7 linked regions of the Nothobranchius furzeri genome follow. The protein of the gene in region 7 purifies or fractionates together with the protein of the main gene of each other region. This does not show direct contact. Links are inferred from orthologs where the notes say so. Each region holds a gene or a part of one and is shown on either strand. Other genes may lie near its edges.

Region 1 (3,377 bases), on a different chromosome or scaffold from region 7:
ATCCACCTATCGATCTCAAGCTCCAGTTTTCCCTCACTCGTGAAGAAGACCCTGAGATACTTAAACTCCTCCACTTGGGGCAGGACCTCATCCCTGACCCGCAGAAGGCATTCTACCCATTTCCGAATCAAGACCATGGCCTCAGATTTAGAGGAGGTAATTCTCATCCCAGCTGCTTCACACTCGGCTGCGAACTGCTCCAGCGAAAGCTGAAGATCACGTTCTGATGAAGCCAACAGGACCACATCATCTGCAAAAAGCAGAGACCTGATCCTCAGGCCACCAAAACAGATCTTCTCCACTCCTTGGCTGCGCCTCGAAATTCTGTCCATTAAAGTTATGAACTGAACCGGTGACAAAGGGCAGCCTTGGCGGAGTCTAACTTTCACTGGTAACGAGCCCGACTTACTGCCGGCAATGCGGACCAAGCTCTGACACCGGTCATACAGGGACCTAACAGCCCATAACAGAGGGCCTGGTACCCCATACTCCCGGCGTAGCCCCCACAGGGCCCCTCCGAGGGACGCAGTCAAACGCCTTCTCCAAATCCACAAAACACATGTAGACTGGTTGGGCAAATTCCCACGCACCCTCCAGGATCCCCCTAAGGGTATAGAGCTGGTCCAGTGTTCCACGGTCGGTCCAGTGACTGGTCTGATGGGCATCCTCCCCCACCATCGAAGCCAACTCACCACCAGGTAGTGGTCAGTTGACAGCTCCGCCCCTCTCTTCACCCGAGTGTCCAAGACAGGCGGCTGCAGGTCAGATGAAACAACAACAAAGTCGATCATCGGGCTTCGGCCTGAGGTATCCTGGTGTCAAGAGCACATATGGACACCTTTATGTGTGAACATGGTGTTCATTATGTACAATCCATGACTGGCACAGAAGTCCAATAACAAAACACCACTCGAATTCAGATCATGGCCGTTCCTCCCAACCACACCTCTCCAGGTCTCACTGTCGTTGCCCACATGAGCGTTAAAGTCCCCCAGCAGAACGAGGGAGTCACCAGAAGGAGCGCTCTCCGGCACCCCCTCCAGGGTCTCCAAAAAGAGTGTGTAGTCTGAACTGTAGTTTGGTGCAAAAGCACACCCATCCCCCCACACGTAAGCGGAGGGAGGCTACCCTCTCATTCACTGGGGTAAACCCCAACGCACAGGCACCAAGATGGGGGGCAACTAGTATGCCCAGCCCTGCTCGGCGCCTCTCAGTGTCTCTGTGTCTTACAAACACACCTTACCGGCATGGCGTTGCACAAATTTAGCATCATTCGTTCGGCCCGCTTGGTAATAATGCGGTAATTGTCTGCCTAATAGACGGCGCGACAGAGGGAGGCGTCATGATGACGTAGGGAGTTAATGCCGAGCTCCGGCCAGCAACTCGATAGAAAATGAAAGTAAACTCCGACTGCAAGTTTTGCGTTTTGAACAAAAACAGCTGAGACAGCAGAGTGAAGGCTGCAGCCATCCAAGAGCTTCTCTCCGTTAGAGCTGGAGCTCAGATCACCAGAGACCACACCGGGGCTGTGGAGGACGGACACAGTTAGGAGCGGCTTGTTAAAAAATACGTAACCATCGTGGCTTCAATTGCAGTAAAAACTAACGGAAGTCCGTGGCAGCGCAGAGACTGCCCTATACCACCGTTATGCCGCCACAGTACTGCCACGGTCTGACCACCTAAAAACGACCTAAGGCTCCCTGACGCCGCCATGGCGTTGATTGTTTAGTTGAAACAGCTTGTGATATTTGGTGTTAAAGAAAAGGATGTTCTGATGTTGGAAAGACTCCCTTGAACTCATGTTGTCATATCTGTGAAATCTGAGTTTCCTTGTGAAGGAAAGGGAATCGTGTAGAAAAAAACACTTGACTGTACTTTACCAGAAGCTGGGGGCGGGATCTTGAGCATGTGACATCACATGTCGTGTGTTTCTGTTGAAACGGAAGCTTGTTGCAGCAGCTCACCTGTTCCTTCCAGGAGCAATCCCCTCATCAGGCAGCAGGTGACCAGCAGAGTGACTGGAGACCAGAAAGTCCCCTGATCGAACCAGTTAAAGCTGCCCTCGTTGGACGGGAGCTGCACATCGGGTTCCTCTCATATTGGGACCCGAGCTGGGCTCCATGTTGGTGCTTATTAGTGCGACTCGTGCGTATGAAACCGTCCACCGTGTGCTACACTAGGGGTACCCGGACCAGAGGTGGGAGGGGCTTTCTAACGGAGGCATTACTGGAACACCTGGTGGTAATCTGTGGGATGCTTCGGTGGTTTGAGCTGATTTAACCTTTGTGTTGCAGAGCTGGACGCTCTGGACTCCAACGATGAGCTGACTCCTTTGGGTCGGATTCTGGCTCGGCTGCCCATCGAACCTCGGCTGGGGAAGATGATGATCATGGGCTGCATCTTTTAGTGGGTTCCTCTCTGGTTCTCCTGACTTGTTGCCTCTGATATGGGGTGACTGACGTGTTTCTCCCCTCAGTGTTGGAGATGCCATGTGCACCATCTCAGCCGCCTCCTGTTTTCCGGAGCCGTTCATCAGCGATGGGAGACGCCTCGGATTCGTCCACAGGAACTTTTCGGGGAACCGCTTCTCGGATCACGTGGCGCTGCTGTCGGTCTTCCAGGCCTGGGACGACGTGAGGTGAGTGAGCCTCAAAGGTTTTAATTACCTTCTGGATCTTCACCTGATCCCTCATCAGTCTTTTGGTGGCTTCATGTTTTGTTTTTATATAAATAAATATATAATCTGGTCTTGATTCGGAAAAGGGTAGAATGCCTTCTCTGGGTCAGGGATGAGGTCCTGCCCCAAGTGGAGGAGTTTAAGTATCTCTGGGTCTTGTTCACGAGTGAGGGAAAACTGGAGCGTGAGATCGATAGGCAGATTGGTGCTGCATCTGCAGTGATGCGGGCGTTGTACCGGTCTGTCGTGGTGGAGAGAGAGCTGAGTCAGAAGGCGAGGCTCTCGATTTACCGGTCGATCTACGTTCCTACCCTCACCTATGGTCACGAGCTTTGGGTAGTGACCGAAAGATCGAGATTGCGGACACAAGCAGATGAAATTATCTCCATCGGGTGGCTGGGCTCTCCTTAGAAATAGGGTGAGAAGCTCGGTCATCCGGGAGGGGCTCGGAGTAGACCCGCTGCTCCTCCACATCGAGAGGAACCAGTTGAGGTGGCTCGGGCGTCTGGTCAGAATGCCTCCTGGACGCCTCCCTGGTGAGGCGTTCCAGGCACGTCCAACCGGGAGGAGACCTAAAGGTAGACCCAGGACACGGTGGAGGGACTATGTCTCTCACCTGGCCAGGGAACGCCTTGGGATTCCCCCGGAGGAGCTGGCCCAAGTGGCTGGGGAGAGGGAAGTCTGGGCCTCTCGACTTAGG
Region 2 (5,101 bases), on a different chromosome or scaffold from region 7:
GTACATTTAACCAAAGAATTAGCACTAGAGGAGTTACCTACCAGTCTCCTCTGCACGGTCGGTGTCTCCCTCCTTCTCCGGCACGATGCCACGCACGCTTGCCGGTCCGAGTACTGCTGAGATTGTAAAGGTGAGCGGTGGGGGATCAGAGGTGCCACACTTTGGCGGTGGCAAAACATCTTTTTTTTGCCTCCACATTCAGATCGGACCATTTTTTTACATCCGCCACAGATCTCTCTGAAGAACTCAGCATTGACAGCTTCAGCAAAGCTGTGCCATTCCGTGGATTTTCTCTTATTTGTTTTGCAAAAGCACTTCCTTTCATTTCTCCACCTCACCCACAAGTACCTCAATTTCTGCTTCTGTGAAATACCGCTTCCTTGATCTGCGGTCGACATTGTTAATGGCGGAGCGCTGCAACAGCCGGCTTATGTATATGCATGAGATCCACAAGGCACTTTGCATTGAACATTTATGGCAGAAAGTGGGCATGTTGAGGGCGGGACGTGATCCAGAAACACTTGAGAACCTTTCTAGATAGTTTCTGATTTATAAAGCGGAGATTGCTTGCAGCTGTGCGTACTCCATGTTTGGTAGGTCACAAACCTGCTTGGCGTGAGTACATTCGTTTGCTGAGCTTAAGTACGGTTTTAGTAAGGATTCTACGCCATGTTTTATAAATGAGAGAGGGGCCTCATTTATCAAGCTTGCTTACTCACAAAACGGGGTCGGAAAACTGCGTGAGCAACTTTCCACGCAAACTTTGGGACTTATGAAAGAAAACCTGGCGGAAAAATGTGCGCAACGTTAAGGTAAGGTACCTACCTACTGCTCCAGATTGGTGTTTGGTGGGGTGTAAAATTGTGGTTGTACATGAGTTTCCTGCGTAGAAGAGCTTGTTTAAGAATGGGCGTCAACTTCATTGGCAGTTTTTTCTATTTTAAAATCACATGTAAGGACAAACTCAATTCCTCCAATCATATCAAACACTGGAGACAAAAGCTGATACCGATAGCGTTAGCTTGTTTTTTCTGCCATGTGCTCATTTTAGCCTAATTACAATGTTGCAGTTTCACTACTAATAATGTTATTCTCTCTAATAAAATAAAACAAAACATAAAATGCATTTGCAATTTGCTGTAATTATGCGCAAATACCCTTTGCTGAATTTGTGTGCTTTCCGTGGTGAATCCATTCACTGAATATTTTCAATCGGTAAACTTTTCAAAATGACCAGTCAGAAAACTTGTATTTTTAATTGAGATACCGCAACTGGAACAGGAAATAGCGCCGCCTTCAGTTCCGGAAAGCAATGGCACCTTTATGGGGAGAAAAAAAAGTTTCAAAAGATCTGTGAGTGTGTATCTAAATTTGTGTGTGTAACTCTTGATTTGTAACTTGTGTTTACATTTTTGTGTGTAACTTCAGTTCTTACACATACAAATCATTGAATACACACACACAAATCACCTGGTAATCACGGACAAAACTACATTACACACAGATCAGTTCCTAAGTCCAAAAATACTTTTAAGACTCTTTTCACACCTGACCATGCACCTGACTGATTTGTGCGCACATGGTGTGTTTGAATGCTGGATGGAAGCTGGGAAATTTGAATTCCTTTGGGTTTAGTCTAAACTTGTGTTGACGGGACAAATATGGTTTTCTGTGGAAAAATAGAGTATCTCAGGATCCTGTAGTTATACGAGATAAACCTACATTTAAATTTAAATTTTCTAAAATTGTTTATTTAGACATGTGTTTGTGAGCCATGAGAACATAGTGAAAGGGTTATAACAAATGACTAATAAATGGCAGAGTGGTTCTCTGACTGGAAAAAAGCACGGTTCAAAAGGAGAGAAGGCACGAGATGTCTCCTTTTGAACCTTTTCCATATATGGTCGTACCCTGTGCCCACTCCCCGCCCCGTGCTACAAGCTGCAGCGTAGACCTCCTTCTCTGTGAGCTTGGCGGTGTTCTCGACTTTACGGCAGTCTTTGTGGTTTACGACAAAACCGCCATTTTGTGTTGTTGAGAGACGGCTAACTAAGACATTTACACGAGACACGTTGGAGCTTTGAACCTTTAAAATTAAACCGCTGCTCGGACCCTTTAGAAGCACATCTTGCTTTGGAGAACTGCCCACTCGGCATCACCTCAGGTCCATGGTTTGATTTCGGTCGAACACCGGAGGAGAGAAGAAGGTAAGACGTAGCGAAGCTCGTGTTAGCATTGTTAGCTTAGGCTAAGACGAAGCGCTTCATAAAGTAAACGAAGAAAGGCAACAGTGCAAGTGAGAACGGACGTTTTTATAACTACAGCTCTACTATCAGTAGTTTTCATCATCGGGTCTAAGTTAGTTATGAGCGGATTTAACCAGGTGAAGATGAACCACAGTCATCAGAGTGTCGCTAGCTGAGTACCCGCCGCCCCTGCTCTGCGGTCGGATTGTGTAACAATCACACTCTGTCGTGTTTCAGTGAAAGATGACACAGTTTCTACCGCCGAACTTGCTGGCCCTGTTCGCACCACGGGACCCGATACCCTTCCTGCCGCAGCTGGAGAAGTTGCCCCATGAGAAGCATCACAACCAACCGTACTGCGGCATCGCTCCGTTCATCCGACACTTTGAGGTGAAACGCGCTCTAGTCGGTTTTCCTCTTCCTACGCTCGTCTCTGATGTGCCTCCTAAATGTTTGTGTTCTGGGATCAGGACCCAAGAGATGCCCCCCCACCGACCAGAGCAGAGACCCGGGAGGAGCGCCTGGAGAGGAAGGTGAGACCATCACTAGATTAGTGCAGGTATAATTAAAAGAGCAAATTGCAGGTAAAATTTGTTTTCTAATTCATGTAAAATGCTGTCCAAAAATACTAGCCGAAATGCTTATTGTGGATATTTCGTTTATGAACACACAACGGCACAGTTTTAGGAGTAAAAAGTGACTTTTCTCAGCAGAGCTTCTAAAAACGCTCCTTTTTTACCTGTCACGTAACTAAAGCCTCAGCTCAGTGGAGCAGGGTCCAGCCAGCCGCGGGCGTTTCTACTTGGGCTACAGAAAAACGCCTTTATGGGGGTTACTGTAGCTTCTCACCAACCAATCGGAATGGGCATCAAAATACGTAATTTCCCCTGTTAGACGTGTCAAAATAAAAGTCTAAACTAATTGATCGTGTGGCACCGCCACGGCAAAATAAAAGTCCCCACACCTCTCCTAATGTCTGAAAGAAGCTCCTTTACAAAGGGAGAAACGCTCCCGGTGACTTTCTACATCTGCGACAGAGACGGAGCAGCGCATTTGACCCCGGAAGTTGTTGTCCGTTGCCGGGAGACTAAGGCGGGCAAAACAGGAAAGGAATCTAGTAGCGGACGGACATTGTTCCTGGTCTTCGGTATTTGGGGGATGCTAGTGAAGGCGGAGAAGAGGGTGAACTAAAGGAAAAACAGGCAGATTCCTCCTCTCTTGACAAACTCCTGGGGATGCAACAAGTGGGCGCGGTGCGTCGACTACCGGATCTGACGTCGGCGAATTTTTAGAATCGAGCCGTCGACGCTTCGCTACAGCTCTAGTAATTACCCAACTTGTTCTTTCTGTATCTGATCTTTATTCGGGTTACTGTTGGCCCACACCTTAACTCCAGGAAAATCAACGTTAACAATCTCTTCTCTTTCTAAACAACCAAACCGAAACTCTCCACACAATCGGCAGAGAACACCCCCTCCAACACAAAAGTCCAACCATAACAAATCGTAACCCGTTGGTACAACAATGCAAAGCCAGAGAACAGATAGATGAGCAGAGAAAATCTCTTATTTTGGAATATCTGAGGTGAAGTAACATTTCAGGAGCGAATACGACGAAGTGGGTGTTCCTGTTTTGTAGGGATGTTCTCGTTTACAAACCACAATGCCCCTTTTAGCAGCTGGCCCGATGATGTTGGCTCAGTGTGTGTTTACTATGGTTGGTTGTGTTCATGTTGATAAACTAGAGTGTGTGAGAGTAGAGCTGCACCAACTCCAGCCTGTCTGGACATCGATTCCCCGGGTTTCCAGATAAGAGACACAACGCCTCTATCTTCGTGCCTGAGGGCGTTTCTGTAGCCCGCACCGGTCGGTACCGAGTCAGGGAAGTCCACGCTGGGCTCCGGAGACCCGTGGCGAGATTTTAAAAAAATTAAATGCAAGTTTTTGGAAGTCAGTTCTTCGTCAGAACCGATCACCAGAAGCGACGCGTGGCTGAGTCGAGCTGCCAAGCGTTAGCAGCGCGCTGCCGGTTACCGGCGGTTCTTACGGCTCGTTTTCTTTCACTCACCTAAGTTTTATTTCATGTTTTACTTTTTAATTCACACTGAAAACACAGCTGTAGGGGTTTGAAACGCTAGAGAGAAGCTTCTCCTTTTACTCAGACGTAAATACTCCCAGTGTTTTGGATTGGGGTCCTTCACCGGCTTCCAGCAGCAGCGGGCTGCCCGCGGAGGTGCCTGGCTTTAAATCGGCTCTACTAAAGAGACTTATCGGCCGATGATGAAAAAATGCAAAATATCGGCCTGATAAATCGGTCGACGCCTAGTTAGCACACAAGTTTAACCGTTAACTCACAAGACATGGGAATTGCTTTGCAACACTCCCAGGAGACGGAAAAGTCAGAGAGCGAAACGTCTCTTTCCGTGCGTTCGCGTCTCCCACCTGGAGCTGGCGCACAAGTATAACTTGTTACCTGAAACAACTGAGATATAACTGTCACTGAAACACACACGGTAATAGTTATTTAGGTTCATTAACCTGGGCTTTTTCAGATGTCTTCTGTCAACGTGCAAACACAGAAATGTGAACATTACCCCCAGGAGCCAGCGACCTGTGAGGCTTCTCACTGCTAGGTGCTCTGCTCTTTTCAGCTGAGTTTACGATGACAAACAAAACACTCAGGTCCTAACGCTCTGTGTGAACATCGGTGCAGCAGAATGCCTGATGACCCACCTTTCTGTCTTAAACACAGCGCCGCTACTCAAACATGTAATTAGGTGAAGCCCTCGTTTCTATATTTGACACCCATCAGATCATCATTCAGAAAACGCATCAGCGGCAGGTCTGGATCATGTC
Region 3 (4,952 bases), on a different chromosome or scaffold from region 7:
AAACTGGTATGGGTTGACTCAGGCCCTCCGCTACCTTCACCATACAGCTGACATTCCTATACAGCATCTTAATCCATTCCAGAAAGGACCCCCCAAAACCAAAGGCCCGTAGCCTCTCATTAAAAATAAATTGTCCATTAATTACTTTCCTGGTATTCAAAAGGACTGATCGTCTGGGATTAGACCTCCGATGAATCCCCAAAGTCTGTTTGATAAGAATTTAGAAAAAATCTTATTGTCTGAACATAACAAGGAAACTGGTCTCCAGTATTTTAGTTGGGTTAAGTCCCCTTTTTCGGCAGCAGGGACAGAACGCCCCACCTACACGATGCAGGAAGTGCTCCTGTCTGAAGTGAGTCTTTAAAAACATCCATCAGGTCCTGTCCCATACTGCTCCAGTAGAATTTGTAGAAGTCAGCAGGTAAGCCATCTATCCCCAGAGATTTTCCTGCAGCCATCTGGGAGACTGCCGTTGTAAGCTCCTCCATGGTTATGTCTGCATTTAAGATGTCTTGGTCTGCTGTGGTCAAGGAAGGGAGCCCCTGCAACAGCTCTCTGGCACAGTTCACATCACATGGCCTTAAATAGGCTGGTATAGAATTCTCCTGCATACTTCCTCATCTCCACTGGGTCTGTGGATAACTGTCCATCTGACAGACGAAGAGCAACCATTTGTTTTTTTCTGGTTTGAAAGTCTTTTCCAGGTTAAAAAAGAAGGATGTTGGAGCATCCATGTCCTGTAATGTGGTGAAACGAGCCCGGATCAAGGCCCCTTTGGCCCTCTCTTGCACGAAATGCCCAAGCTGTTTTTTTTTTTTACCAGAGACATAAAATCTGTCTAATCTAGCAGCACTAACTCCGAGAGAGAGAGAGAGAGAGAGAGAGAGAGAGAGAGAGAGAGAGAGAGAGAGAGAGAGAGAGAGAGAGAGAGAGAGAGAGAGAGAGAGAGAGAGAGAGAGAGAGAGAGAGAGAGAGAGAGAGAGAGAGAGAGAGAGAGAGAGAGAGAGAGAGAGAGAGAGAGAGATTAACCGCATGCGCTTCACACATTGGCCTGTGCTTGTAAAGGGTGCCAGTGGTGCATGAACATAATATGAGTGGATTCTGCAGTTACCTTTGTCTTTACCTGCTAATATTTATGGGGTGTTTATTTGTCTTTTCTTAGAATGTTCCCACGGTAAACATCACAATAGTAGTAATTATTTCAACTATCTAGAAACGACAAAATAAATTAAACATAAAGTTGTCACATTTGCAACATACCACATGTATGGTTCACAGTTTTGTATGACATAATTCAAAATGCATAATACTATCGGAAGTGTCACAAGCAGAATTCTCTCGCTTTTACGTCACTGGGGGCGTTGAGACTTCTGTACGTCTTTTTGACCAATAATTTCATCAAAGGCTTTGCTCAAAAAAGATTGACAGTCTCAATAGCCAATTGGAAGGAGATTTGTTCAATTCTACATATTTTAGCTAATCAGGAGACGAGATGGGCGGGTCTTCGCCTGGGAACATTCCCCTGCACTGTCTCTTGTTCTGCCCAGTTCGATCGGCAACGGGAGCGGAAAGAAGAAAGCTGAGAGCCCGAAGGCAGTAGCCCCCACCACCGCCGGCCCAGGTTACCATCTAGCACCGGGAAAAATATCAGAGAGCCGCCGCCGGCTGAAGCCATTACCAACGAGTAGTAACCATGAGCAGCGAGGCCGAGACGCAACAACCTCCACAGCCTGCTGCGGATGCGGAGAGCCCATCCAGCCCGGCACCCGCAGCTTCCGCGGGGGATAAGAAGGTCATCGGTAAGAATTCTTAGGCTAGCCGAGCCGGAGTTATCATTTATAATTTATACGCTCTTGGGTGTGGATGTAGCATTTGAATAAAAGCTGCCGTTCTTGCGTGAGAATTTCAGCCACGTCAAATTAATTTGCTCCAGTTGGTAAACGTTAGTGCCAGTTGACGGATAAATTCTTCACTCCTTTGGGCATTCTTATTATAATGGTCCAAAAAATTCAATCTAACGGTTTTTATTAGTCTAGTTTCTAAAAATTGAGTGGTTTATTCACAGATTAAATCGTGAATTCCATTCTGATTATCTCCATTGCTCATCGGCCTCCTCACGTCAAATATCCGTTTGAGAGTCGCGTGTATCCGGCCGGTCATCACATGGATGCTCGCTGTCACTTCCAACCGTTGCCAGAACCACGATGTTTTGACTAGGGTTTAATAACTGCATAACTGCATCTGGACCGCCAATAATTGCAGAACAATCCTACCAAATGCTCTATAACACCGGTTCATGTGAAATAACTACAGTGGCTACGAACGTTAGCTGCTTAACCATCTCTTTGTTCGCACGAAAGAGTCTTGATTCCATGTCAAGGCATTTTATCTAAAATATTCTCCTTTTCCAAAGCGTTCAGTCCCGATTTTTTTGGCCAAATTGTCAGAAGAAACGTTGTTGGCTAGCGACTCCAGCTACATCCGTCAATGGCGGTCTTATTTTGGTTGAATTTGCGTGCTGTCGGTGTGGCCTAAATACTTTACTATAGATCATCGGTTGCTAACCTAGCTACATTAGCCTAGCCAGCTAAGTGGCTATTTACATGGCTTTAGGGGAGGCCGTCCAAAATGTCCGCCGTGTGTTTTCCCGTTTTTTCCCGCTGCTTTGTAATTTGTTCGCTAAAAACTAATTCAAAACCGAAATCTTTATCATATATACCAATAAATACGGATTAATGTAGTTTAGTAATGCGCGTTTGTTTGTTTCTCTTTGCTGGCTCTACTCCAACCACATGGTACTAACCTTAGCCACACAGCCATGCTAATAGCCAGCAGAGCACAGCTCACAGCTCGTTAACGTATCCGGGTGCGACCCAACCACGTGTGAACCTTCAGGTTCTGCGTCCTAAAATGGAGCAGCAGGTCTGCAGTAACTAAACATGCGAGTGCAGAGACTGGTCGCTGTTTGCATCCTCATCTTTGTCATGCATTATGGGACATTTTGGATGCGTCATTTGGGACAGTTGTTGTATCGTTACTGGGATATTTTCTTACTGGTGGCTCATGTTAGGAGCAGCTGGCCCTGGGGTCTCCTAAGCATCAGTGTCTATAATAGGAGTGACAGTTGCGGGTTAAATATAACCTCTACGTTATGTGTGGCCATAGTTTTTAATGTTTTTATAGTTCTGATGTAGTTCGTTAAGTGTCCCATCATGATGGAAGCGTTTCAGTTTCACTTAAGCTATATGGATTTGTTCTAAATGCATGTCAGGCAGACGATGGTATTTAATAATCTTGTTCTGACTGTGATTGCAGCAACAAAAGTCTTGGGTACAGTCAAATGGTTCAACGTCAGGAATGGATATGGTTTCATCAATAGGTGAGTCACCTGTTGGTCCCTGTGTCAAAGTACATTTCTGGGTGTGGGTGAGAGTGAAGCATGCTAATCCTATTAAGTTATGCTTTGCGTACTTGGCTGACCATATTATTTTTCTGCTCATCTCCATCCTGTTGCAACCCACAGAACTTAATTAATCCCCACTGGCTTAGTTTTAAGTCTGTTTGCAGAGGCTCAGCAGAATGCAGCTAACTAAGATTCTGTTCTTTTGTCTAGGAACGATACAAAGGAAGATGTTTTTGTACACCAGGTCAGTTGTTGCTTTAGTTTTTATTCATTTATTGAAATTTGTGGTTAAGCAGACTTGACATTCAAACTATTTGTAATTTCAGACGGCCATAAAAAAGAACAACCCAAGGAAATATCTTCGCAGTGTTGGGGACGGAGAAACTGTGGAGTTTGATGTAGTTGAGGGAGAAAAAGTAAGTTTCTTTGATTTGTTTGTTTAAAGGACATTGTGTTCCATCATGATTAATTTACTTTGCCTTTTTTTCTTGTGCACAGGGAGCAGAGGCAGCAAATGTCACTGGCCCAGGAGGAGTTGCAGTCCAGGGGAGTAAGTACGCTGCTGACAGGAACCGTTACAGACGCTACCCACGAAGGAGGGGGCCTCCCCGTGGAGGAGACTATCCAGAGAACTACCAGAGCGACGAGGGAGAGCCTGGCAGTGGAGGACGTGACAAAGGCAGCAGAGAGGGTGGAGATAACATCCCTGATGGAGATTCGCAGCAACCACAGCGCAGACCAGCGTACCCTGGCAGACGGCGCTACCCACCATATTTTGTACGTAGTCGCTACGGCCGCAGGCCCCATACACCCAACGCACCACGCAGAGATGACTGAGGTACGCTGTCACAGGGCTAAAATCCTGAAACAGTCACCCAGTTGTCCCATTCCAAAATTAAAACCCTTTGTTGTAGACGAGCTACTCTCCTCTTCACAAACGTGGTTGTGATCAACTAATCTTGGTGTATCGGGGGTCTTGGAAGTGAGCCCCTCCTGTCAATGAAAAACAACAAAACTGTGAACAAAATCTTGAAAAAAAAAAAAAAAGAATTAAAACAAAAAACTTAGATGGTTTCAAGTTTCTAAAGTGGGTGTGTCACTAAAAAAAGCGTCCGTTATGGTTAAATGTTTGTTTTCAGGGAGGTGAGGTTGATGAGGGCCAAGGAGGTCCAGACCAGGGGAACAAACCGGCGAGGCAGAACTACTACAGAGGCTTCCGACCAAGGTTCACACCAAGGTTTGCATGTTGGCTTTATTGATGAAGGGTTGGCAAAAACTGGAGTAGTTGGTGAAGCTCTGGGTCCACTGGAGCTTCATTTTAAAAATTTGAAGTGATGACAAAACGTCACATTACAAACTTCTGTTGTTGCAGCCCAACCTCAAATTGCTGCTGTGCATTCATTTTATTTATATTTGCATGTCTTTGAAACTTCATCCAGCATCTGCAGTTAATGCAATCTTTACCCCGATTTTCTGAATCGTTCTCATGACGGTCTCTGTGCTCCAGGGGTCCACCCCGTCCCAGACCGGTGCGAGACGGCGAGGAGGA
Region 4 (4,328 bases), on a different chromosome or scaffold from region 7:
CAACTTTTCACAAGTAAAGGAACAAATAGCTTCTTTTTCTGGAACATGTTACAGTAGTCAGTGCAGGTTTAAATTACACAAATCTAAACATTCAAAACATAAACAATATGTAAACAAATCAAAGAAACACCACTTGTTTTCTCATATACTTGTTTTCTTCATTATCCAAATGAAAATCTAAAACTCCAGTCCACACTTGACTTGAGCACTGTACAAGTCAACCTTAAAAAATATGTATTTGAAATAAATAGCCACTTTAAACAAATTACTAAAATAACTACTACACTATGTAATCAAATCCAAATGTTCAAGTATAAATGGCATTGAATAAGTAAACAAATCAAATTGACAAGGAACTAATTGTATATTTCTCTTCATCATCAACAAATAAGATGCTTCATCCAGCAACAGGGTGTCCGTGACACGGTTTAAATGCTGGCAGAGGACGCTGCGGCTGCAGTCTATAGTGACTCGTTGCATTCTCCCTCAGCCAAAAGTCCTCACGTCATGCATTTGAGCTAAAATGCTAATGTTAACTTACCTTGCACTGGCTGTAGAGACGTGGGTGATGGTCACGCAGATGTGCCATTAGATTCGAAGTGTTGCTGCCTTTTGCAGACACTTGTTTCCTGCACGTTCTGCAAACGGGATAGCCGTCTTCTATTAACTGTCCCTCAGCATTTTTCAGAAATCCAAAATATGCCCATACTTCCGATTTAGTCTTCTTTGAGGGCTGATGGATGTCCTGGGCGCTGCCGTCTCCTCCTTCGGCCATTATTTCAGCTTCAAAGTTTTGGTGCCGTTGCAAACTAAAAAGTGCGTGTGCGCGCCGCGGGAACTTCAGCTGAAGCGACGGTGGCTGGTAAGGGTCACCGCGCCGAAACCGCGGCCACGGTAAACCCACCGAGATAATTTAGTTTTTTAAAAACTGGACGGTTATTTTTATTGTCAACTTTTTTACCGGGGTTTACCGCTATACCGGTTACCGTGACAACCCTAGAGGAGACCCAAAGGGATGACCCAGGACACAGTTGGAAGAACTACATTTTCAGCTGGTCAAGGAACACCTTGGGATTCCCCTAAAGGAGCTGGCCCAAGTGGCTGGGGAGAGGGAAGGGTGGGCCTCTCTGCTTAGGCTGCTGACCCCCAGATGGCAGATGGAGGGGTGGGAAAAATGCAAGCTGCTCTTCACAGACACTGATTTTTATATTTCCTGACCCATTTGTTTCATTAATAGGAAGATGTTTGTGGGAGGCCTCAGCTGGGACACCACTAAAAAGGACCTGAAGGATTACTTCTCAAAGTTTGGGGAGGTTGTTGACTGCACATTAAAACTGGACCCCATGACTGGTCGATCAAGGGGTTTCGGCTTTGTACTTTTCAAAGAACCGGAAAGTGTTGAAAAGGTACGGTCCTTCTTTTATTTTAATGCTGCAAAACAATAAGTGTGGAGCAGGAGGTTAATCTAGAGTTTATTGAATGATACTCCTTTATTTCATGCCTCAAGCGTATTCATCAGCAGGAGGCACTCCTTCTAGAAATGAACCATTTTCCAACAGAAAGCTTCTGTGCTTCTAGATCATTTGCAACCTTTGCAATCCAAAGAACTTTTCTCCTCAGTCCACCTTAATAAAACTTGTTTAGAGCTGCAAATGTTACAGGATCCTTTTGAGAAGAAACCATTTATAATTCTTGAGTGATGTCTACAGAAGAGAATTAGGGTCACAAAAAACGTTCTTCTTAGAATTCAGAGAGAAAAAATTGGAATTATGAGATTAAAATTGGAAATTAGAATTTTTCTGAGAGTAAAGTCAAAAATTGTATTTTGTCCTCTTTCGTAAATACCTAGCCTAGAAATGTTGACCAACCGTAGTAGAAGCAAAAGATTTTGGTCTGCAGGTCGGTCTAGTCATGCTCCATGTTGCCTCAGCAGGTCTACAGTTGGCTCGAACATTTGGCTTAATGTAAGAGCTGCAGTGGAGAAAAACTACGAAGATGGCAATGGTTTATAATCTGCGCTTGTTTTCAATGGCTTTGGCATGAACTTTGGAAAATTAGACTTGGGCTTCTCTTTGAGGCATGAGCAGATAGAGGTACAAACAGCATGTGTTTGCTTCTTATGTGTATGGCAGACTGATTTAAGTAGCGATGAATATGTTATATTGTTCGTTGCTCTTATTGGTCCTAGTACTGTCCAGTAGCATGCAGAGGCCGTTTGAAAGACAACTGTAGATCCCGCCCTATGACTGAGCTCTGTCTATGGGTCGTGGTACTACACATATATAGGTTGGGTTGCTGCCAGGATAATAAATATAATAGATTTGTTGTCATTTTTTGAAAGAAAAAATAAAACTTCAATTTATTTCATTATTAGTTTTTTAAAAATTAGATTGAGGGAAAATAAATAAAACTTATAGAGGCGTGAATCTTCACTAGTCTCATGACTCGATTAGATTCAATATCCTGATTCATAACGATTATTTCATATGGGTTTGCTTTCATTGATAAATAGAGGATGACAGATATGTGCTTTTAAAAAATCTGACACAACACACCATCCCCCAAAAGCTCTTCGTTCACAGCAGACTGTAGGATAATGTAAGAGGGTAAAACATTTATAACAAGATAAAAAATCTGTTTCCTCATTCAGTAGTCATGCCTCAGGCTGTGGGAGAAGCATGCTCTGCAGATGCAAAAAACCCAATTGGACATGTCTGTAATTTAGGTTATAAAATCCATAATGGATCCATATATTAGGTTTTAATGTCTTTGAGCTGCTTTAGTCACATGTTTGTGCCAAGGTACAAGGGCGTAAGAAATAAATAACACCAAAGGAAATGTTTGGCTTTGTTTGTTATTTTATTTGAACCCAACGGTCTCATTTCAGAAAAGTTGGAGAGTGGATCAAATTCTGTTCAATGCAGAAAATAATAAAACATAAAAAATCCTATTTCATCACAACATCAGCAGGAGGCTGTAGGTTGAATTAGGATTAAATCACAGCCTACCCAGATGATGGACCACCTTCACTGACCTGACCTGTGTGACCTTTATTATCTCCTCATATCCACGGTGTCTCTGTTGATGTTCGCAGCCCGAAAAACGAACCCTGACAGTTGTTTGATCAAAAGGCCAAACCATCCATAGAACTGTTGATTGACTCTACGTTTAACTGGTTTATTGTTGGCGTTTGTCCTCATGAAGGTTGCATCACAGAAGGAACATAAGCTCAACGGGAAGGTGATCGACCCCAAAAGAGCCAAAGCCATGAAGGCCAAGGAGCCTGTGACGAAGATCTTTGTTGGTGGTCTGTCTCCAGATACTCATGAAGACAAAGTCAGAGAGTACTTCAGTGCTTTTGGAGAGGTGTGACACATACACACACACACACGCCTCACTTTATATTCGTTAAGCTTTTGCTTGCATTTTCCTTTTTAAATAAAACCCAATATATCATGAATGCATTCACTATGATTTAATCAGGTGGAGTTGATTGAACTTCCCATGGAGAACAAAACTAACAAAAGGAGAGGCTTCTGCTTCATCACATTTCTAGAGGAGGAGCCAGTGAAGAAGATTATGGAGAAGAAGTACCACAACATCGGACTCAGCCAGGTGCAATCACTTCATCCAATCAGATTTCATTATATGACTGTACCTTAATGAAGACATAATAAATTAATAATGTTTGACTTTAGTGTGAAGTAAAGGTGGCTGTGTCAAAGGAGGTGTACCAGCAGCAGCAGTACTGGGGAGGCAGAGGAGGATACTCGTCCAGGTCCAGAGGAAGAGGAGGTGAGTTAGGATGGAAAACTAAAACATTGCTCTTGCTAGTTTAACATTTATGTCTGCCTCCACCTGCTGGGTTTCTCACTGAGCAGAGAAGATTGTTTCCTTATCAAACGCACAAGAACTGTATCAGCAGAACTGTTCAGGCTGAAACATTCTAGAAAAACTTCATTAAAGATAAAAACAATCGGTAAATAACTCCATTTCAACATTTTTTTAAACTTCATGGCGGATTTTTTTTCTAAGCTTGGTCCTGAAATGTCTGAATAAAGCTGCAACTTGTCCTCACCGTTGTGTGGACATAAAGGGCATGTTTGTTGGTGAGACTGGTTCTAGATCGTGGTTCCTACTAGGGGTTGTATCAACTAGTCGACTTAGTCGTGCTTATATGTTTGAGGGTTTTTTTGCATAGTACAGCTACGCCCTGTCGGGAGTAACTCTGGTATGCCTTTTTCCCTCCTCCAACCTATCCTCATGTAATTCCTTTTCATCTAATAAGGTAGCGCGACTCGTGTTGCGAATGACCGCAGTCACCAATT
Region 5 (4,328 bases), on a different chromosome or scaffold from region 7:
GACATGTGCGTGCTGCTTGTGTGTTAGCAGCTTGTATTATCAGTAGGAGACCGTCGTTCATTCTGTCGCTTTGTGATTAAATTAGGTCTCGTTCCTCCCAAAAACTCCCGTAAACAGACAAGTCCACAGTCGTCTACTCTTTCTGAATGTGTCTGTGTTAAAGAGCTCCGCTGTCACCCCACAGCCAGGATGCTGAACACAGAGAAAGAAGCAGCTGATGCAGTAACATCTATGGAGAAGAACAAGGAGATGGAAAGAAAAAAAAGGTCTCGAGTTAAACAGCTGCTCAGCGACATAAAGAAGCAAGTGGAGTTTTGGTTTGGAGACGTCAACCTGTACAAGGACCGCTTTCTGAAAAAGCTCATCGATGAGTCCGACAAAGGATGTGAGTGTCTGAAAGTGCTAGTTCTAAATCTCAGATTGACTCGATCAGAGCTTGACGTGTTTTCCACTTCTTGTAGATGTTGATATTTCTGTTTTGACGAGCTTCAGTCGGATGAAGAAACTGACAACTGACACTAAACTGATTGCCAGAGCACTGAGAAACTCATCTGTAGTGGAGGTGATGACTTTTTTTATTCTCGTTACTCGTGACTGTCACTGTTTAAATGACATTCTAAACGCTTTTGTGTTTTAGCTCAACCTCGAAGGAACTAAAGTCAGACGTCAACATCCACTCGGAGACCCACCGAAAAACGTCGACGACCGCACAGTTTACGTGGTAACAACAAACGAAACTCTGCTTTAGTTGCTAATTTTTACATTGGGTCATTTCAGATGATGATATGTTTTTCTATTTATAAATCCCATTAAAAAAGATCAAAGAGTCCATAAAACCCAGCATTTTTGGTGAATGTTCAGTCATCCGGGTCGTGGTAACCCAAAATGGTTCAAATGAAGGCAACTGGACTTCTTTGGTTTTTTGAAGACGTTTCGCTTCTCATCCAAGGAACTTTGTCAATTCTGACTGGAATACGGGAGAGTCAAGTTTATACGCTGTAGCTATCTGTTGTTATTTAACGAGCAGAAACTACTCTGAAAACCCCTCCTCTCGTCCCCCGATGAGTCATTAGCCTCTATTGTGAGGGAGTCGTGTTGATTAGATGCAGGGGGGTGTGACCTACAGTGGGGCAAACAAGTATTTAGTCAGCCACCAATTGTGCAAGTTCTCCCACTTAAAATGATGACAGAGGTCAGTAATTTAGATCATAGGTACACTTCAACTGTGAGAGACAGAATGTGAGAAAAAAAATCCATGAATTCACATGGCAGGATTTTAAAAGAATTTATTTGTAAATCAGGGTAGAAAATAAGTATTTGGTCACTTCAAACAAGGAAAATCTCTGGCTCTCACAGACCTGTAATGTCTTCTTTAAGAAGCTTTTCTGTCCTCAACTCGTTACCTGTATTAATGGCACCTGTTTGAACTCATTATCTGTATAAAAGACACCTGTCCACAGCCTCAAACAGTCAGACTCCAAACTCCACTATGGCCAAAAACAAAGAGCTTTCCAAGGACACCGGGAAAAGAATTGTAGACCTGCACCAGACTGGGAAGAGTGAATCTACAATAGGCAAGCAGCTTGGTGTGAAAAAATCAACTGTGGGAGCAATTATCAGAAAATGGAAGACATACAAGACCACTGATAATCTCCCTCGATCTGGGGCTCCACGCAAGATCTCATCCCATGGGGTCAAAATGATCATGAGAACGGTGAGCAAGAATCCCAGAACCACACGGGGGGACCTGGTGAATGACCTGCAGAGAGCTGGGACCTCAGTAACACAGGTCAACATCAGTAACACACTACAACGGCAGGGAATCAAATCCTGCAGTGCCAGACGTGTTCCGCTGCTGAAGCCAGTGCATGTCCAGGCCCGTCTGAAGTTTGCCAGAGAGCACATGGATGATACAGCAGAGGATTGGTAGAATGTCATGTGGTCAGATGAAACCAAAGTAGAACCTTTTGGTATAAACTCAACTCGTCGTGCTTGGAGGAAGATGAATACTGAGTTGCATCCCAAGAACACCATACCTACTGTGAAGCATGGGGGTGGGAACATCATGCTTTGGGGCTGTTTTTCTGCTAAGGGGACAGGACGACTGATCCGTGTTAAGGACAGAATGAATGGGGCCATGTATCGTGAGATTTTGAGCCAAAACCTCCTTCCATCAGTGAGAGCTTTGAAGATGAAACGTGGCTGGGTCTTCCATCACGACAATGATCCCAAACACACCGCCCGGGCAACAAAGGAGTGGCTCCGTAAGAAGCATTTGAAAGTCCTGGAGTGGCCTAGCCAGTCTCCAGACCTCAACCCCATAGAAAATCTGTGGAGGGAGTTGAAAGTCTGTGTTGCTCGGCGACAGCCCCAAAACATCACTGCTCTCGAGAAGATCTGCATGGAGGAATGGGCCAAAATACCAGCTACTGTGTGTGCAAACCTGGTAAAGACCTATAGTAATCGTTTGACCTCTGTTATTGCCAAAAAAGGTTATGTTACAAAGTATTGAGTTGAATTTTTGTTATTGACCAAATACTTATTTTTCCACCCTGATTTACAAATAAATTCTTTAAAAATCCTGCCATGTGAATTCATGGATTTTTTTTCACATTCTGTCTCTCACAGTTGAAGTGTACCTATGATGAAAATTACTGACCTCTGTCATCATTTTAAGTGGGAGAACTTGCACAATCGGTGGCTGACTAAATACTTTTTTGCCCCACTGTAGACTGAAACTAATAAATAAAAAACTAACAACATCCACTGCAGCAAATAACGTCTGCAAAGCATAACTAACAGCAGTTAGTAGAGTTGGACATGTTTGAATAGGAACACATTCGATTCCAATTACTTGTTTCAATTCTGGTTTCGAGTGATTTAGATTCTTTCAATAGACAGGGTCAAAAAACGTACAATGTTTTAAATGAGCCGGCTAACTATAGGTCTTACATGATGAAATAATCTGAACGTCCATCAATTTTATATACTTTGCAACATTTTTATATTTTTAAATCATTTTCTTGAGCCAGTATGCGCTAAAATGACCCATTACAGGGTTAATGAAATGTCACTCAGCCCTACCGCCCACTTTGGCCAGAATACTGCACTGCAACTTCAGAGTGGTGGGCCGCCTCCTGTTGCACTTAGTAGAGCGGAGCTGACAAACTCACTGGAGTCTGCTTCCAGCAGGTTTCCTGCATGTTTTAGATGCCAAAAATGAATCGCCCCTGTGGACACTAATGAAGCCTGGGGAGACATTTCAGCTGTTGGATTAAGGGGTTAAAAGGACCAACGCACAGCAAGGAGAAATGTTTCATTTTTTTGTTTTATTAGTGGACACTAGGAGGTGCTAAAAGCACGCCAGTACTGCATGTCGCGGTCTAAAAGTGACATTAGAATTTGCCTGAGAAGGAGCAAATATAGAAGGAAAAAGGATTGGTCCCAGGACCGAACCCTGGGGATCCTTCAATGAGCCGCTGTTACAGTGGATGAGTATTTCCATGCAGCCTTTTAAATGCGTCCCTGAAGAGTAGTGTTACATTGTTCTACAAAATTTTTGTTTCAAGTCTTACTTTTTACTCTCTACGCTTCCAGAACGCATCAAGCTCAGCAGTTCACATCAGGGCAAACAGGAAGTCATACAAAAGCAGTGTAAAACATCTTGAAACTTTCACAATAAAAGTGGTGTGAAAATTTCCAGTTGCTTAAAGTACAAGTTACCCTGACTGGAGTCTTACTGCACTGCACCAGTGACCGACAATGACATCACACACACGTTGCTCGGATAGTGAAACAGCAGCAGGCTTCCTAGTATGAAGCATTTCTTCACCAGAGGAAGGAGAGGAAAACAGAAGGATTAATGGAGGAGGTGAAAGGCTCCGAGCCGTATCGTTTCGTATCTTCTTGTGAGAGGCCGAGACTCATCTGCGGTGTAATGCGGCCATGCTAGAAATACTGGCTAGCCTAGATAATACCAGCTTAGCAATTAGCTATGACTGAAATTCAAATGTAGTTCTGACTTTTAACCTTAAGAGGGCACTACACTGGCAATTTTAGGCTCATTTTAAAAATTAGAAATAAGATGCAATAAAAACCACATTAAAGAACGTAAACCCTTGACCTGTTGGAACACGGGGCCGTCTTCCTGCTTGATGCTCATATACTGCTAGAATCAGGTGTAATTTTGCAGTTCTCCGATGACAATGCGGTACCAGCTTTGTGGAAGGCTTTCGCTGCCATTTCACATCTGAAACGCTCTTGGTGGGAAGGGATGCTTTGCTGAGCTCACAGGGAAAACGCATCTATTTCACTATGAAAGTTGATTG
Region 6 (3,648 bases), on a different chromosome or scaffold from region 7:
TAATTTTGAAGACCTTTAAGTAAGTTAATATAACTTTCTCTGTTAAAATGTGTTGTTTATTTGTGATTACTTAAAAATTACTTTTAAAATTCATGTTTAATCGCATAAAAAGCAGAGAAGATGGTGTATTTATCGTAATTTTGTGTGATAATTATTTTCTGTGGAATATCATAACTATGGTTTGATTTTGATAGTTCAGTCAGCAGGCATCTCGTGCTGGGCAATAAGCTTAATCTGTAAAAAATAAAAAATAAAAATAAAGAAAGACTATCAACTTTAAAAATAAACATGTCGGTAAACGATTTACAATGATCAGGTATAGCTGAGTTGCAGCAGCTCAGTGCTTCACTAAGAAAACATATTTTACAACAAACAGTCACACATTTGATTAATTTATATTACACAAACAGCAAAATGTTGTATTTAGGAGAATTATTGTCATAAACATATTTAATTCAATCCACTTGGACTGTCAGGGTTCAGCTCAGGCAATTAGAACCAAGTTTAAGAGTTTTTTATACGTGGAACTGCTCTCAGGGCTGGAAAAAAAATATTAACAACTAGACACACAAAATGATAATTGCTGCAGCAATCAGAACCAATTGTAAAACTGTACATATGATTTTTTTTCTCTTATAAAAACCTCATTTGAAATAACTGCAATAATTTTGGGACCTCATAACAACCAAAATCAATTATTCAATTACTGTGTTTTTAAATAAATATTTAATCTGATTAAATATTATCAAATGGACATGCCAAACATTAAGCCAGTACTGTATGGACAATACTGTCAAACTAATTAAAAATGCAGAACAGATCAAAACCACTCTCCTGCCTGAAAGCACACATACATATACATGTAGTGATATGTGAATGTAATTTGAAAAAGTGGCTGTAAAATTCAAGATGTGAGGCCCCAGTTATATTTTGAAAATGTAATTTATTGCAAATAAATTATTTTTCAACCCTAATGTTGATTGTGCACTTAGTTAATATGGTCTTGTTTTTGTAAAAGGTATATATTTTTACCAGTAAAATGGTTATTTGCTGAGCTGCCTAGGATTAGCTTCGTCTCAGTGGGGGAGGATGGTGGAATTTTCCATGTCTTGCTGGCCCTCCCTCACACAGTTTGTGCAGTGTAAGCTTACTTCAAGCACATTTTGCGCATTTTAATAAATTGTCCTCATGTATAATTGTGATACATGTGTCACCACATTTCGATCTTGGTCAAAAACCCTGACAACATTATTCAATACTTTACTGTATCAATACTCATTAAATCGCTTGAAATGTTCACTTTTCGTTCGGTAACGCGCCAAAACGTTTAAAGCTGGAGGGAAGACCGTCTATTGGTCTTCCTTCTGACACGTGACCCGCGTGAAACTGGGTGAACAAATAAACAACCAATTACCTTTGTCTATTGGTCAGACTCCTCGATGATTGGTGTAGAGCCAGAGCAGCCAAACCAATAGTTACTGGCTTCCTGGAACGTTTGATCTCCTAAAGCCAAACAAATGAGAGCTTCTCTCTCTAGCATCCAATAGTAGTTTGGGGCGGGACTAACGTGGAGGCTTATATATGGCTCGGCGAGCCTTTTTTCTTTCTACTTTGCGATTTTCTGCATTGAAATCATATTCGTGGAAGAGATCTTCAACAATGTCTGGAAGAGGTAAAACCGGTGCTAAGGCCCGCGCCAAGGCGAAGACCCGCAGCTCCCGCGCCGGTCTGCAGTTCCCTGTGGGCCGTGTTCACCGTCTCCTCCGCAAGGGAAACTATGCTGAGAGAGTGGGCGCCGGAGCTCCTGTTTACCTGGCTGCGGTCCTCGAGTATCTCACCGCCGAGATCCTGGAGCTGGCTGGCAACGCCGCTCGGGACAACAAGAAGACCCGAATCATTCCTCGCCACCTTCAGCTGGCTGTCCGTAACGACGAGGAGCTGAACAAACTGCTCGGTGGCGTGACCATCGCTCAGGGAGGCGTGTTGCCTAACATCCAGGCCGTCCTCCTGCCCAAGAAGGCCGGCCAGGCAGCACCCAGCTCCGGCAAGGCGGGAAAGAAGGCGTCCTCTCAGTCTCAGGAGTATTAGCTTCACGGCTAACCACAATGAACCCAAAGGCCCTTTTAAGGGCCAACCACCGACCGAAAGGGCAACTTTTCTAGTTTATCAATGTCGCTCAAAGCATATTTTGTTTGGGTTATTGAAGGCTTGTGTTAAGGTAATTTCTTTCAGGCTAGATCCTTTGCTAAGAAACAAGATTAGGCTAAATTTCCCCAGTTAGCCTGAAATGTCACTTGAAAATCTTCATCCTGAGTTTATTTTTCATCCTTGAATGTTATTTAAAGTAGCAACTCTTCTGCAACTGACCAGATCCAATGCTAGCTGCACACACTGGCAACTAAACATTTGTTATGCATTGCACTCAGGTTCTCAGGGCTGCTGTATGTTTTCATCATGTGAAACGCCTGTTCACAACAAAACGGTTTCATTAAAAGTTCTGCAAGACAACATCTGTCACCTGGAAACGTGTTTGTGTGGTGGTGAAGTCTCAAATGAAATGTACTAACGGCTGTCTATTCAAGCAGCTCCAGGTGTTTCCTTATTGCACATGGAGAAAAACACGCGAGCAGATAGTGTTAACATTCATGGCTTCCTCTGTGGTTTCTTTTACACGTTTTTCAGTTCTTGTCCCTGTACCACTGACTCAACTTACTGGACTGAGGGGTGATGAGCAGTCCGATAAAAACTAACTTCAGAATCCCTGCAGAAAAAATAATAGTACTTGCAAAGTAGTAAATTGCCTGTATTTGTATAGCCCTTTTACCCCAACCCCCCCCACACACACACACACACACACACACACAGTCATTCACCCATGCACGCACATTCACGCTGGTGGTGATGGAGATCCGGTGTAGCTACAGCTGCCCTAGGGAACACTGGCAGAGGCGAGGCCTGTTGTACACTGGTTCCTCCGACCACCACCAGACAAGGTGGGTTAGTCGTCTTGCCCGTGGACACAACAGCAGCATTCTCTGACAGCAAGGGTCAAACCTACAACCTTCTGATTACTGGACATCCCACTCTACCTCCTGAGCTGCTGCTGCGTGTCCAAATCATCACTTTCAAACATTAAAAGAAAAATCTGGAAGCTGTGTATGAAGACATGAGGAGTGTTATGTTTGCTGAGGTGAAGGTGGGGATGTTGTTCACTGGTTTTACCACCAGAGGTTGACTGCTTCCTGTGAGATCTGCACGTGCTTCATTCTTCCCCATGTCTTCTTCCATACTCTTACTCCACATGAAAAGTCTACGACAGATGTGTGAAAGCTTCATCGTGTCCACACAGCACATCTGACAGCAATAGTTTATACGTAGGTGTCCCAACAGATGTGGTTAATTCAGTTTACCTGAATTCATGCACCTTTCAGCCGGAGGGTCTGGTCCAGATTTCATTTTTGGTGATGGTGTTTGACGATGAATGACAGCAAAATCTGAGACATTTCCATTTGCTTTGGCTGTTTTATTGATGGCAAAAGCAGCAAACTGAACCAATTACCCGGGCCTTGACAACGTGTCCAACACCAACATCCGGCCTCAGAAAGCCAGATGGTTAACCCAGACCTTAAATTCACCGCTCTGCCTGCT
Region 7 (4,760 bases):
TTAGAGCCTGTAAAAGGTCATTTTAGCACATACTGGCTCATGAAAATTATTTTAAAACTACGAAAAAGTTGCAAAGTATCCCTTTATATAAATGTTCTTGTGTTATTAGGAACTGAAATTTGACTAGTGTTTTTTTTGTATTATAGAGTAAGACTTACTAGCTTCACAGCCTTTTGTGCGTCATCTTTATTGCAGTATGTGATGAAAGCATAACCTCTGTTCTGACCAGACAGGGGGTCCATCATTAACCTGAGGTCCCAGATGGCACCAGCAGACTCAAACAGAGGCACAAGCTCATCTTCATAAAGATCCCTGGGGATTTTCCCAACAAACACCTGAATAAAACAAAAGAAACAAACACACCATCAATGATATCAGCATCTAACTGAGTGAAAATTAGAAACAAAGTGTTTTTAAGTAGTGGATTGGTGTAGTCAACTAAAAGTCCAAGTCCAACCTAATAGTCCATTTCCAGAAATCACTAGATTAACAATTTGGGCACATTTTCAAATGTCTTTCATATTTTAGTTATAATTAAGATCAAAGCTCTGCTGCATTTTGGTCACCATGTATGAACAGAGTTTGCAGAAAATTTCATCACTTTATATATATATATATATTAGGGCTAGGGGTAAACGATTATTTTTAAAACGATTATTCTGACGATTATTTTATCGAATAGTCGACTATTCTAATGACTATTTAGAAAATTAATCTAATGATTATTTTTCTATTGCACAATTAACAAAAACCAGAAAATCTCAAATAAATTCCTCAAAAAGAATTGATAAATTCTTACTGTAAGAGAATAAACACTACAGGCCTTCCATTTTGTATAACACTGTGTTTATTGTGTTGGTTGGTTATGTTCTGATGACGTGTAGAACTTGGGAGTGCAGGCTGCTGCCTGAGAGGTGGTAGAAGATGGAGTGTCTCCATGCTGCTTTGTTTTGGTCACTTATGTGCGTGAGGCGAGTGGTCTTACGGGTTAAACCAAACTCAGGTGATATTTTACACTAAACCGAAAACCCACAACACTCTAAATGTAATAAAAGGGAGATCTACACCACAAAAAATATGAACTCTAAACCAAAACGTAACAGCTTATCCCAACGCAAGAAGCTGTTAGCGAAGATGCTAACAGTAGCTTTACCAACATTAAGTTCAAGTTACCAAGTTTAAATAAACCAAAAACACCCAGCAGCAAACAGACCAGCATGGAGGAGAGACTGCTACCACCAAAACAGCTCTCCTCATGTCTGAAAGAAGCTCCTTAATGAAGGGAGAAGCGCTCCCGGTGATTTTCTACATCTGCGATAGACACGAAGCAGCGCATCTGACCCCGGAAGTTGTTGTCCGTTGCCGGGAGACGAAGGGGCAAAACAGGAAAATAATCTAGTAGTGGACGGACGTTGTTCCGGGTCTTCGGTATTTGGCGGAGATGTTAGTGAAGGCGGAGAAGAGGGCGAACTAGAGGAAGAACAGGCAGATTCCTCCTCTATTTACAAACTCCTGGGGATGCAAAAAGTGGGCGCGGTGCGTCGACTTCCGGATCTGACGTCGACAAATTTTTAGAATCGAGCCGTCGACTTCGTCGAGGCTTCGCTACAGCCCTAATATATATATATATATATATATATATATATATATATATATATATATATATATATATATATATATATATGAAGCACTCCTACCTCAGTTCCAATCCCTGGTTGTGAGCCTGTGTATACGTCCTCAGGTGGAGGGCCTCCATATTTTCTCTGCCCTGTAGTCACGTCCAGAGTGTATCCTGTCCTCTCCAACAGAGACTTAAAACAAAAAACAATAACTAAACATTAGTTTCAGATCTAACTTTAAAGCTCACTTTTAACATTTCATACAAATGTGCATAAAATAATTCACCTTTATTTTGGACTCATCTGGACCCTTGGTGGACTCTTGTACCTTGCTTCCTTGTTTTTCCCTCTGTCTGTATGTTTTCATGACTCCACAAAGGAACGCACTTTTATTCTACAAAAAAATTATATAAATACAAATGAAACATAAAGCACTTTGGATACAATCACAGCTTCAGACAAATATTAAAATGTTACCTATAAACATGAATACCTGCACATGAGATAGGTCACTCTCTTTGAATTGCTGCAGCACCGTGAGCGCTCCCTCTTCATTGAACTCTCGCAGAGCATCAATGGCCCTTTCGTCCAAGTCAACATAAGCCACCAAGCCTACAGTAAATTTTATATACATATGTAAAAACACATACACACACACACATATAAAACAAAATGTCAAACAATTTGGAGACATATATATATATTTTAATTTAGCAGCTCATTTTGGAGCGATTACTGACCTGTCTGGAAGATGTTATCTAGACTTTCAGCGACTTTCTGAGGCAGCCCAGCATCAAGTAGTGTTTGGTAGTTTTCTGTGTGTGTTATTGACACATCCATTGGCTCTTCTTCCTCCTTTAATGGAGCAGAACTCCCATTCACCTCAGCAGCAGCCATTCCTCTGCAATATAGCAATCAAGAGAGACATGTCTTTTGATTAATCTGCATTTGCGTAATTATTTTACTTATAAAATCTAGAGATCATATAATAATTTGCGTTTTCAGCCTGTAGCAAACAAAAAATACTCTCACTTCATAGATTTCTTGCTTTTTGATCGCAACTGCTGACATTTGCTAATTCAATTAATTAAAATTGTTGTATATGCTATTAAATGAAGGATGAGATATAATATATATATATATATATATATACACGTTTACATAAAAAATAGCCAGGTTTTCAAAAAGAAACAACAGATAGCTACAGCCCCGCCTCCTTCGCATGCAGCCCGCTAACTAGCCAGATAAATACGTTTAATTCTGATATTTACATGCACGTTTTAAAAGAAAACGAACTCAATTAAAACTTAACAGAAGATTTAATGACTATATTTCAAAGCAAGATGGGGATTTCAAAATGTGCCTTTTCAAGTAGCAGCGATAGTTAGCCAAAAAGCTAACTATCGAAGCTTACGCGCAGGCCTCGCGGTGCCGACAAACGCCTCTCACATATCAAACACATAAAAGGTCCAAACTGATAGTTAGCAAAACTTACCAGCCTGATTCAGGAAGCCAATTACACCGTGGTTTAGCGCGCGAAATTATTAATTTTATTAACGAACGAAAATGCCCAAACAAAGTGTACTTATATCTCTACCACGAGACAATTTTTCCAGACACCAACGGTCTCGTCGTCGGCTCGCCCGAACAACGCAACCGCTCAGCAAATATCGCGAGACCAGAACGAGAAATCATTGAAGGGGGTTTCATGAGAATCATGGCTGCCGTGGTTTCTGTTTCGCAGATACGAACAAAAATAAAACGAAAAACTACGTATTAGCAGGCAATACTTGCGGTGAAGTTGTGATCCCGACTTCTTATATTCATTTCGCAGCATAACGAATCAATTTTGTGATTTCATGAGTATTTTCTGGTCCATTTGTATTTTGTCTGTTTAATTGAATTATCCTCGTTTTGTTGTACTTTTACACTAAAAAACAAAACATGCAGTGTGACTGCAACAGGTAATTTTACTTCTACTTAAAATGCACGATATCTGTATGCAGATAGTTATTTTCTCAAATTTTAAACTGATGTTCAAGATTCTGTTGAAAGTATGGAAAACATACGTTCACAACACTGATGATGGAAAAGAATGCTTCCTTTTTATCCAACTGCTGAAAAGGGATTTTGATTATCTTGGAAGAAACAAATGCACATGTTTTGAACACCAAGCCAAATGTTTAAAAATCCAAAGCGAATTAAATGCATATTTTGACAATGTAGGAAGATTAATCACTTTATTATTTCAGCATGATGAGTCAGAAGGACCTTTCATGACTAAGACCTGCAGAAAGTACAAGTGATAACGACATGTTCACAAGCGGTTCTACTCAGGAAAGAATTGACAGTTGGCCTCTCCCCCTTAATCGTCGTGCGTGAGCTTTCTGATTTTGCCCTTGTGGCGGTCGATCTCCTTCTGTAGGCGTTCAATCTCCTTTTTGTGGTGCTCGATCTCTTCTGAATGATGCTTCCTTAGTGCCTCCAACTGCTCCCGTTCCTTCTGCCTGCAAACAAATGCAACACAGAGACGGTCAAGAAAACACAATACAATGAAAGTAGTAGTACAGTATTATCACTATGCCTGGCATCTCACCGGAAGTACAGCTCCTCCTCTGCTGCTTCTCGCTTTCCAAAGGCACCTCCTGCTGACCTCACATAGCCTCCACCACCACCACCTTTCCCTGCTCCCTTTCCCAATTCACCAAGCTGGAAAAAAACAATATTTTTATGTGATTGTAAATCTCACACTAGGAATGTGCTTTATTTTAACACTTTCGGTTATGCATCACATATCAAAATGTTTAATTAATCTAAGTTATGAGAATCCTCAAAATACCACCTGAAGTTCTTTGATATGAAGTAGGGCTGGACGATATGGAAAAAATGCCCATCACCACAATATTTTTCATATCAGCCAATACTGACCAAACTATTTTTGGCAATTTCTATTACCCTGTATTATTAGGGGAAATCTGAAGCATGCATTTCACACTAGCCGGTTCGGGTGCTAAAACAGATTAGTGATATTCTCAGACTTTGTTCGAACATGCATTTTATATCATTTAGAGTGCACCTTACATTTATCGGATGACTTTAAATAGCCTGTATATGTCAACACATTTGACACCGATGCAAGTT

Evidence for each region.
Region 1: the proteins of heterogeneous nuclear ribonucleoprotein R (region 7) and dhx9 fractionate together in Homo sapiens (co-fractionation; 3 studies listed by BioGRID and IntAct, with this or other methods). This does not show direct contact. The link is inferred for Nothobranchius furzeri from reciprocal best matches to the Homo sapiens genes HNRNPR and DHX9.
Region 2: the proteins of heterogeneous nuclear ribonucleoprotein R (region 7) and snrnp70 purify together in Homo sapiens (affinity purification with mass spectrometry; 3 studies listed by BioGRID and IntAct, with this or other methods). This does not show direct contact. The link is inferred for Nothobranchius furzeri from reciprocal best matches to the Homo sapiens genes HNRNPR and SNRNP70.
Region 3: the proteins of heterogeneous nuclear ribonucleoprotein R (region 7) and ybx1 purify together in Homo sapiens (co-immunoprecipitation; 5 studies listed by BioGRID and IntAct, with this or other methods). This does not show direct contact. The link is inferred for Nothobranchius furzeri from reciprocal best matches to the Homo sapiens genes HNRNPR and YBX1.
Region 4: the proteins of heterogeneous nuclear ribonucleoprotein R (region 7) and heterogeneous nuclear ribonucleoprotein D0 purify together in Homo sapiens (affinity purification with mass spectrometry; 4 studies listed by BioGRID and IntAct, with this or other methods). This does not show direct contact. The link is inferred for Nothobranchius furzeri from reciprocal best matches to the Homo sapiens genes HNRNPR and HNRNPD.
Region 5: the proteins of heterogeneous nuclear ribonucleoprotein R (region 7) and larp7 purify together in Homo sapiens (affinity purification with mass spectrometry; 4 studies listed by BioGRID and IntAct, with this or other methods). This does not show direct contact. The link is inferred for Nothobranchius furzeri from reciprocal best matches to the Homo sapiens genes HNRNPR and LARP7.
Region 6: the proteins of heterogeneous nuclear ribonucleoprotein R (region 7) and h2ax purify together in Homo sapiens (affinity purification with mass spectrometry; 3 studies listed by BioGRID and IntAct, with this or other methods). This does not show direct contact. The link is inferred for Nothobranchius furzeri from reciprocal best matches to the Homo sapiens genes HNRNPR and H2AX.

The regions. Positions count from the first base shown.
Region 1 is NC_091751.1:34,755,651-34,759,027, reverse strand, and holds part of dhx9 (ATP-dependent RNA helicase A), read left to right. Parts: intron 1-2,294; coding exon 2,295-2,406; intron 2,407-2,476; coding exon 2,477-2,638; intron 2,639-3,377. UniProt on the Homo sapiens protein: Multifunctional ATP-dependent nucleic acid helicase that unwinds DNA and RNA in a 3' to 5' direction and that plays important roles in many processes, such as DNA replication, transcriptional activation, post-transcriptional RNA regulation, mRNA translation and RNA-mediated gene silencing.
Region 2 is NC_091758.1:13,865,910-13,871,010, forward strand, and holds the start of snrnp70 (U1 small nuclear ribonucleoprotein 70 kDa), read left to right. Parts: upstream 1-2,024; 5' UTR 2,025-2,207; intron 2,208-2,483; 5' UTR 2,484-2,489; coding exon 2,490-2,636; intron 2,637-2,716; coding exon 2,717-2,779; intron 2,780-5,101. UniProt on the Homo sapiens protein: Component of the spliceosomal U1 snRNP, which is essential for recognition of the pre-mRNA 5' splice-site and the subsequent assembly of the spliceosome. SNRNP70 binds to the loop I region of U1-snRNA.
Region 3 is NC_091755.1:32,514,982-32,519,933, reverse strand, and holds the start of ybx1 (Y-box-binding protein 1), read left to right. Parts: upstream 1-1,516; 5' UTR 1,517-1,693; coding exon 1,694-1,799; intron 1,800-3,315; coding exon 3,316-3,379; intron 3,380-3,613; coding exon 3,614-3,647; intron 3,648-3,729; coding exon 3,730-3,819; intron 3,820-3,901; coding exon 3,902-4,180; intron 4,181-4,542; coding exon 4,543-4,640; exon of another isoform or gene 4,641-4,910; coding exon 4,911-4,952. UniProt on the Homo sapiens protein: DNA- and RNA-binding protein involved in various processes, such as translational repression, RNA stabilization, mRNA splicing, DNA repair and transcription regulation.
Region 4 is NC_091746.1:62,884,829-62,889,156, reverse strand, and holds part of heterogeneous nuclear ribonucleoprotein D0, read left to right. Parts: intron 1-1,237; coding exon 1,238-1,406; intron 1,407-3,204; coding exon 3,205-3,366; intron 3,367-3,483; coding exon 3,484-3,615; intron 3,616-3,698; coding exon 3,699-3,795; intron 3,796-4,328. UniProt on the Homo sapiens protein: Binds with high affinity to RNA molecules that contain AU-rich elements (AREs) found within the 3'-UTR of many proto-oncogenes and cytokine mRNAs.
Region 5 is NC_091742.1:73,345,359-73,349,686, forward strand, and holds part of larp7 (la-related protein 7), read left to right. Parts: intron 1-163; exon of another isoform or gene 164-184; 5' UTR 185-189; coding exon 190-385; intron 386-461; coding exon 462-562; intron 563-637; coding exon 638-721; intron 722-4,328. UniProt on the Homo sapiens protein: RNA-binding protein that specifically binds distinct small nuclear RNA (snRNAs) and regulates their processing and function.
Region 6 is NC_091750.1:47,427,414-47,431,061, forward strand, and holds h2ax (histone H2AX), read left to right. Parts: upstream 1-1,558; 5' UTR 1,559-1,581; coding exon 1,582-2,088; 3' UTR 2,089-2,510; downstream 2,511-3,648. UniProt on the Homo sapiens protein: Variant histone H2A which replaces conventional H2A in a subset of nucleosomes. Nucleosomes wrap and compact DNA into chromatin, limiting DNA accessibility to the cellular machineries which require DNA as a template.
Region 7 is NC_091759.1:6,952,320-6,957,079, forward strand, and holds the start of heterogeneous nuclear ribonucleoprotein R, read right to left. Parts: upstream 3,266-4,760; 5' UTR 3,115-3,265; intron 2,521-3,114; 5' UTR 2,517-2,520; coding exon 2,360-2,516; intron 2,232-2,359; coding exon 2,113-2,231; intron 2,014-2,112; coding exon 1,906-2,013; intron 1,812-1,905; coding exon 1,698-1,811; intron 336-1,697; coding exon 159-335; intron 1-158. Other genes in the region: atp5if1a (ATPase inhibitor A, mitochondrial), read right to left, coding at 3,985-4,126, 4,216-4,328. UniProt on the Homo sapiens protein: Component of ribonucleosomes, which are complexes of at least 20 other different heterogeneous nuclear ribonucleoproteins (hnRNP). hnRNP play an important role in processing of precursor mRNA in the nucleus.